2 linked regions of the Neurospora crassa OR74A genome follow. The protein of the gene in region 2 binds, or shares a complex with, the protein of the main gene of each other region. Links are inferred from orthologs where the notes say so. Each region holds a gene or a part of one and is shown on either strand. Other genes may lie near its edges.

What was found.
Region 1: the proteins of NCU04646 (region 2) and NCU02232 are in contact, whole or in part, in a cryo-EM structure (PDB 8FOC), measured with the Saccharomyces cerevisiae proteins. The link is inferred for Neurospora crassa OR74A from reciprocal best matches to the Saccharomyces cerevisiae genes PRI2 and PRI1. Residues at the interface, in NP_012879.1 of Saccharomyces cerevisiae: Gln194, Gln197, Thr198, Ser200, Ala201, Phe205, Pro228, Phe229, Glu230, Ile233, Val236, Gly237, Arg239, Val241, Phe242, Leu243, Lys244, Asp245, Gly246, Tyr247; in NP_012273.1 of Saccharomyces cerevisiae: Arg149, Glu150, Asp151, Phe152, Gly153, Tyr154, Arg175, Leu179, Gln183, Asn186, Val187, Tyr190, Arg195, Lys206, Pro208, Tyr209, His210, Pro211, Ala214.

What each region holds. Positions count from the first base shown.
Region 1 is NC_026507.1:3,252,836-3,256,753, reverse strand, and holds NCU02232 (DNA primase small subunit), read right to left. Parts: upstream 2,927-3,918; 5' UTR 2,752-2,926; coding exon 2,336-2,751; intron 2,283-2,335; coding exon 2,082-2,282; intron 2,019-2,081; coding exon 905-2,018; 3' UTR 565-904; downstream 1-564. Other genes in the region: NCU02231 (tRNA (guanine-N(1)-)-methyltransferase), read left to right, coding at 1-514. UniProt on the Saccharomyces cerevisiae protein: DNA primase is the polymerase that synthesizes small RNA primers for the Okazaki fragments made during discontinuous DNA replication. In a complex with DNA polymerase alpha (DNA polymerase alpha:primase) constitutes a replicative polymerase.
Region 2 is NC_026505.1:1,347,750-1,351,667, forward strand, and holds NCU04646 (DNA primase large subunit), read right to left. Parts: upstream 2,453-3,918; 5' UTR 2,363-2,452; coding exon 2,173-2,362; intron 2,083-2,172; coding exon 897-2,082; intron 806-896; coding exon 640-805; 3' UTR 414-639; downstream 1-413. Other genes in the region: NCU04647 (actin binding protein), read left to right, coding at 1-291; NCU04645 (DUF124 domain-containing protein), read right to left, coding at 2,979-3,023, 3,086-3,259, 3,321-3,670, 3,758-3,918. UniProt on the Saccharomyces cerevisiae protein: DNA primase is the polymerase that synthesizes small RNA primers for the Okazaki fragments made during discontinuous DNA replication. In a complex with DNA polymerase alpha (DNA polymerase alpha:primase) constitutes a replicative polymerase.

The sequences.
Region 1 (3,918 bases), on a different chromosome or scaffold from region 2:
TGCTGCTGCTGCTGCGGCTCCCAAGCCGAAGCCTGAGGAAGAGGCCGAGGATGTGAACCAGTCGATTGTTTACCTGTCGGCAGAGTCTGACTACACCCTGGACAAGCTAGAAGCGAACACGTGCTACGTCATTGGCGGCCTGGTGGATAGGAACCGCGAGAAGGGCCTCTGCTACGGCCGGGCCAAGGCGGCAAAGGTGCGGACGGCCAAACTGCCAATTGGAGAGTATATGGCGATGCAGAGCCGCTACGTCCTCACGACAAACCAGGTTGTAGAGATCATGGCCAAATGGCTCGAGTGCGGTGACTGGGGTGAGGCGTTCCTGACCGTTATTCCCAAGAGAAAGGGCGGAACCCTCAAGGCAGAGTCGTCATGTGGTACCCCTGCTGCGGACAACGGCGAGGATGATGAAGAGGAGGAGAACGGCACCCAAGAAGCCAATGGTGAGGCTGCAGCTCCCGAGGTCACAGACCAGACGACAGAGCAAGCACAAGATGTGCAAATGTCTGGGTAGAACCGCTGTCTCACCTCCACCAGAATCAATCCTTCGAATGCGAAGACGTGGATGACGGCTCTTTGCTCTGTAGGAAAAGTCCAGTGAAGATCCCCCATAACATCCAGTGGCAGATTAGATGGCCGTTGTATGGTTTAGGATGGCGGGTGCATCACAGGGCATATATACCCAATTATTTTGAGCCGCCAAACAAATACCCTTCTCAGTTATCAAAAAGGGACATGATGTTCCCATGTTCAAGCCAGCCGTAGACCTGCTAAACCTTGGCCTGCAAACGATATCCAGTCCTTACCATACAACGCCAATGACCCCTTACATCACAAGATGCACAAACATTTGACCCAAGCCTTCTATGTTTCCCCTATTCCGACTTTATTTTCAATCCACCCATCAAAACTCCATACTCTCACCTCCTCCTCCTCCTCCTCCTTCCTCCTCTCGTTCCCTCTTCACCTTAACCTCCCTCTCATCCTTCATCAACCCAATCACGAAGCTTCTGAAAAACTCAATATAGCCCTTCAGACTCGTCTTCTCCCAATCCACCACATGCTTCTCCACCTCCTGCTCCTGGCGCCCTTCTTTTGGTTCTGGCTTCTTCCACTCGTCAATCTCCCTAATCAGACTCTGCACCGTCGGCACCCCCAGCGGATCAAAACTCTCTAATCCCCTCTTCACATCAATCGGCACACACACCCTCCCTGTGCCCGGGTGCACGACAAAGGGAGACTTGAGCAAATGATTGAGTTTCTTGGACACTTCGATATCAAGGCGCGGGTACGTGTACTCGAGCACAATATCCTGCTTGGCGTCCAGGAGGGACTTGGTGTCAAAGTTTTTGGCAGTGGACGTCTTGGCCACGCTGTCGATGTCGGCCCATTTCAGGGTGGACGGCCGGTCGGGCGATGAAGCCCACTTGTTGCGCAGGGCGGACACGAGTTGCTTCTGATCCGAAGGTAAAAGGGCGAGGAGCTTCTCTTGCTGGTCCTCGGTGCGCCAGGGGTCTTGGGCCTCAAGCACGTCCGACTGAAAATGCTGCTTGAGGATGTCGAGGGAGCGGACCAAGTGCGGGTGCAGCGGCCGGCGGAGGTTGACTTTCTTGCCGCTTTGCGCGCCGCCCCGGATGACTTCGAGGTAGCCGGCGATGGCGCGTCGCTTCTGGTCGTCTAGCGCCCGCGCACTCTTGTCGCATACCCATGCGTGAGCACCGCGACGACCCGAGTATACCCACATGATGTGCTTGAAGCCAAAGTCCTCGCGCAGAGCCGTGTCGACGACCTTGATGGCCATGGTGATGAATTGCCAGCACTTTTGGCATATGTTGGCTTTGTCGCAGCAAGTACGGATGTCATCGTAGTCTGTCAGATCGATATCGAAGCAGAGTTCCTTGGACAGGGGCCGGAAAGCTGACGAGTTCCGTAGCGTTTTGCGATCGCGGGGGTTGGCTGTGTAGACGGGACCAATTTCGAAACGCGAGGGCATGAGGCGGAGGACATCTTTACGGAGTCTGTTCAGGTTGGTCGGGTTAGTAAGATGGATAGCTGGAAGGGAACCGGATAGACAAACTCACAGATCCGAGGTGGTGAAGGATTGGTATCGTAGGTATGCGTCGTTCTGCAACGTAAAGGCGAATTCACGATGGCCGAAATCGTTGGTGGGTGTTGGGCTGTGGTTAAGCCACTGGAACAGGTATCGCCATGGGAAGAGGCGCTGGTAGAATGTGCGCATGACTTCGGGATCTGAGGCTTCGTGGAGATCAATCTCCATGTCACTGTGCATAGTTAGCTTCTGCTGTCTTGGGCTTGAAATGCATGGTTGTGCTACCTTTGCGAGGAGAGCAGATCGGGCGAGCTTGCTGGCTCCCTCTTTGCTGCCTTGGTAGTAGGGAACTCGTCATCGTCAGAGTCCATCTCATCAAACAGCTCTTCGAGCTTCACTCCTGTTGCCGGTTTGCTCTCGCTCGGCGCACCCGTGGCAGCCTCTGGTACTGGGGTATCCTGATTGTTTGGCGTCTCGGCTTGACTTTCAGCCTTTGACTCTGAGATATGAGTTGTGCCATTTGTCGGGGCGGATAGGACTGCATTGGAGTCTGCCATGTCAACGTCTTCGTCTGCTGGCTGTTGGGCTTCCGGAACTTGGGCCGTTGTGCTCTCAGCAACGGCATCCTCTTGCTCTTGGTCGACATTGGCCATGGGTATCGGCGAGTTCTCTGACTCTGGTGGTGATTCGGAATGAGGCATTGTGAAGGCGCTCGAATACGAAAATAGTTTTTTCTGAAATCGAGTAGTATCCTATCGTTCCGTGAATATCTGGGAGTGTTTGGTCGGGTAAGGATTGCCTTTCTTTTTTTCTTTCTTTTTTTTCCAGTGTTGATTTCACGATTCATGGAACAACCTCAATTCAGTAATAGTCGCGTCGTAAAACCGCGGTACGCGTAAAGCACTTGCAGTGGAGCGGGGACCATGCAGAGGGGCGGGCAGGCATGCAGGGGTGCACGCTGACAACAACTGCAACCTCCAACGTCCACTGACGGCCCGGAGGGGGTGTACCTTATATAGTAGATAGGTATTAAACCCTAACCCTTCATTTAATGACAATAGGTAAACTCATGATCAAAAAATACTGTCACCTCCCCCTAATGCCTAATGCACCCTATTTATTAATATCTTAATACCAACCTTCTAGAGTGTATTCTACTACTAAACTTTAATATTTTTTAATGATTCTTATTGCAAATGAAAGGCTAGAATCTAATTTAATATTTGGTATACCAGCCTTTATTCCTTCTGTAAGCCTCGAGGCGTTTGGGCATTAAGTTGATAAGGCCGTTAATGAAGTCTTGAGGGATGCGATTCTAAATGCTAATAAGTATTTCTCTAATTCGACGCTTATTTGCTTCGTTCTCCGTTAGTAAATAGAGTTCTGGGAATTCTTTTTTCAATATCCTCTTTATTTTATTCTAAACGTACTCAATGGGGTTTAAATCCGGGCTATGAGTAGGATGCGCTATATACTAGATACCGTAGTCTTCCAACCAATCTTTAGTTTACTTCGAAGTATAGATTCTCGCATTATTTTAGAGAAAAAAAGTTCCCGGACGATAATAAGGAGCTAATCCTTACTCTAAAACATCGATATAAGAATTAGAAGTATACCTATTCCTTACTATAGTTATATTACAGTTTATAATAACGAGGTTTAATTATCTACCCTTCTAAATTATCTTCTAAACTATTAAAATAATAGAAGCTTTAATATAAGCTTTAAAATTAATTAATCCGGGTTTAAATTTATTTTAAGGCCGTCGAAATACTGAATTATTGGGCTAATTGGGGGCGTTCTAGATAGAATATTTATTAGAATAACTTCCCTATATATTTTGGTAGTTAATAGTAAGGTAAGAAAAA
Region 2 (3,918 bases):
GGAGACTTGGCTCAGGTCCGCTTCAAGAAGGGTCGTTATCTGGACGAGAACTTCTACATTCGTGGTGATGGCACTCGCGTCTACTTCTTTGAGAAAGACGAGCTGGCCGATATTTGGTCGGGCAAGCTGTTTACCAAGGACAGTGAGGTCGAGGACGCTTCTGAGCCTGACATCCGCTTCGTGATTGAGGACCTTGGTGTCGATCGTAGATTGCTCGTCAACCGGGCAAAGAAGCTGAAGATGTACCGCTGCTGGTTGCAAGGTCGCTTCAGGAAGCCATTGCCGCAGTAGAAAGAATAAACAATTGATACCCATTTCTCACCACTTTCTGTTCACCTTTTGATTACCTGTGATGTGTTGCCTAGTTCTTTTGGTGTCTGCTGTACTCGTGGTATGGGATAGCATGTCAGAACCATAAATCTACATGTTGAATATGATCAAGTTAATGATGTTCATCAAATCATATCCCATACATGTGTGTGTGGGTGAACTTGTACGAGTGTCATGTCGTCGCTATGTCGCCTGAACGCCAGAAAATACTACAACAGAAAGAAACCCGGGTCCCACATCCCATGCCCATCCATATTTCCACATCGAACCTCTTTTCAAGCTCGTCCGCATCAACCATGCATGGTATCTTCAACCCTCCATCTTGACATCCCCTTGCATCTTGCCCATATTCTTCAGCAAGTAACTCCGCTTGAAGTACTCGTTGGGGTGGACAATAGTCTCAAGCTGCGCCGCAGTCATGATACCCTCATCCTTGGCCTTTTTGAGTTCTTCCTTGTGAAGATGTTCGAATACCCTGGGTTGTATCCCACATCAGCGTTAATTCACTGCTCAAGTCCAGCAGCGTCAAGAGAGTAGCAGCAGCAAGGCGGCGGGGAGAAACATACCGATTGCAAGCCATATGAAACTTTTGCTTCTCCTTATCCTCCTTGACCCCATTCAACACCCCGCGATCCGTCACCCCCATCCCCTGCTGCAACAGCGTCTGCAGATTCTCCATGTTAAAGTGTCTGTACGGACACCCGTGCGCCTCGCCCGGTCCGGGAGGATGTTCTGTGAGAATCTTTTGGCACGAATATGGCGAGTAACCGCCGCCGCGCCGATTGCTGTCGCCGCCCACGTCGCCGTACGTGTGTCGCACGTTGTACCGGTACTCCTTGTTGAACGTGTCGTCGGTGATTTTGTTGAAACTCTGTCGCCAAAATAGCAAGCATTCTTCGAGGTTGAGGCCGATGCCCTTCAGAAAGAGGGTGTACTGGAGACGACCGTAGTGCTTCAAGTGCGCGTCCCGCCGCAGGGTGCGATGCAAATGGGACATGCAAGCGGGGAAATGGTGGTTGTTCACCAGCGTGTCGATGTTTCTGGCTGAGATATCCGCCGAGGAGATGGCGGATGAAGTACCTACGTACGAAGCGTCGGGCGTGATAAAGTTCTTGGACAAGTGTGCCAGGATGGGCGTCAAGCGGTCGTCTTCGTCTAGTCGGGGAAGGGCCCGGGCGGTTAACTCGAGCTGTCGTTCCAGCCGGGACGAGAATTCCGAAACGACCATCGCTTGCTGTTCGCGCGCGGGAACGTAGGCGTAGCCTTGTCGGAGAAAGACGCGCCGCTGTTCGACCAGCTCGGGGACGCGCAGCCACGAGACTTTGCACCATGTTTGTTGGTCTTCTTCGTATTGCTGCTGCTGCTGTTGTCCCTTTTTGTAGCCGCCGAAGGAGGCAGTCGCTGCCAACTCGGCAGCTAGTTCGCGCTTCTCTTCGTCCGAAACAGTCTCCCAGTCGAGATTAAGCGAGTTTATAAAAGCCGCGCGCTCGCGACCGTCGTCGGCGTTCAGGCGCATGCGAAATAACATGGTTTCGACGCGGGTGAAGCGGCGTCGGAGGTCCTCCGTGGACGCAAAAGCGAGACGAAGGATGAAGTGGCTGTAGTGGTCTTTTTGCCGCTGGGCGAAGAGCTGGGAGGAGGAGGAGCTGTTGGTGTCGAGCGGGAGGTACTTGTCGAGTAAAGGTTTCATGTGCGAGGCCGTCTCGGCGGGGGTTTTGTTACGGAAGGAGCATGCTTCGAGTTCGGCGAGGACTGGATTATGATAAGAAAGAGGTTGATTAGCGTTTAGAGGCACGCCCAGTATTGTAGATCACTGAGATATGAGCGTGGTATGATACATACTTCGTAACCTGTCGATGGCCCATTGTTCAAACTGCTCAATGGTGATGTCGGCTGTTGGAGGGGTCGAGTAGAAGTTGAGCCGATGGGGATAATCGGTGTCCTTGTAGGCGGCTTCTGCGAATTGTTTCTTGCGGTGGTCGAGGACGTTTCGCCTTTTGGGGTCGATGCGACTGACGTTTGATCGTAGCATGATGGAGACTTGGTAGGACTGTCCTCCTGGCTTTCTGACGTGGGAGGTTGTCGGTTGGAAGCCGTGGACTGGGGATGATGTTGGTCTGGGAGACGCGTCTAAAGTTACCTTGACGCGCAGCTCTTACAAAATCAATTAAAAAGCTGGCCAATCACAGGCGTAATTTTGTCCGTGAAGTTGGGCGCGATGCTGCTTTGACCCTAACCCTAGAAAGCCAGCCGGTCACCGAAGACCCTTTTACTCGCAAACTTGGACTTTCTTTCCACTGTTCAAAGTTTCTCAGTCTGTCTTTTCCCGGTGGGATCTTCTCGTATCATTGTTTGGAGAGCCAGGCCTATGTCGCCTGTTTCCCAAACCTCATTCATGGCGGATCGATAGGTTGCCAAGCGGAAACGAAGCTGTCAAGCTTCTAGTCTAAGGACAGGACAAGAGGCTCATGGTTCACTGATACTGACATTTTAACTATTCCCGAACACATCTCAAAGCCGACATGACATCGCTAACAAACTCAAAATAAACAGAATGAAAGGACATCAAGTGATGCGAGGTTCACAGCCTCAAATGCGACCGCCACAGGTATCACTCTCCCGTACGACTCCTACATCCTAATCCAGCTCTAGGCCTTTGCTGTTTGACCGGTCATAAACGCACTAAAGGCAGTCTTTATAAAAGTTAGTTTATGTCATGTCCAAACGTATCAAGCTGGTGTGGGGTTTGACAAACCGCATTCCTTGTCTGGATGAATATTGTTCCAGGGCCAGTGAATTTGCACACCAGTCCTTCGCCAGAAGCGAAGCCCGATAGTAAGCCGCCGGAAGCAACACGTTCCAGAACGTACTTGGTATTCCATGCGACCAAGTGGCCGTTGTCAACAATGTACTTCTCGCCGTCCGCCAGCTGTCTCCTCTGTTAGCAACCCGCACCCTTCCACTCGGACTTCAGACAACTGATAACTCACATCTTTCCGAACAATGGCACCAAAACTCGTCAGCCACAACAGCCCCGTGCCACTAATCTTGTACACCCACAATCCCTCACCAGAGAACATGGCCTTTCCCAGTCCCTGGCGCTTATAGTCCTTGGTGACGTTCTGCGTCGAAGCAAGGTATCCATCGTGGCTGACAGACCAGGTCTGGGAGCCATCCAGGCGGAGACTCGTGATATCGCCGAGCATGGCAGGGGCCAAAAGCAACTCACCCGGACCGGTGTAAGTCGAGCTGCCCATCTCGCCGCCGGCAACAAGTTTCTTCAAGCCAAACTTGTAGGCTCCCTTGAGGGACATGGAGGGGGACATGGCGATCATTGATCCTGTGCGAGAATAAGATAGAGACTGTTAGCCAAGTACACACTCGTTTGGATACACCTATGGAGTGAATTTCAAGAGAGAAAGCATACCCGGCTTAGCATCCAACGGGCAACCGATCGCCAACTGCACAGTCAAAATAGTATTGCAATCCCGATGGCTGATACGGTAACTGCCACCATTGAACGTTCCCACGTCATCCGACACCGCACCTACACCGGAAAACTGTCCGGCGGCGGGTGCACCAGTAATG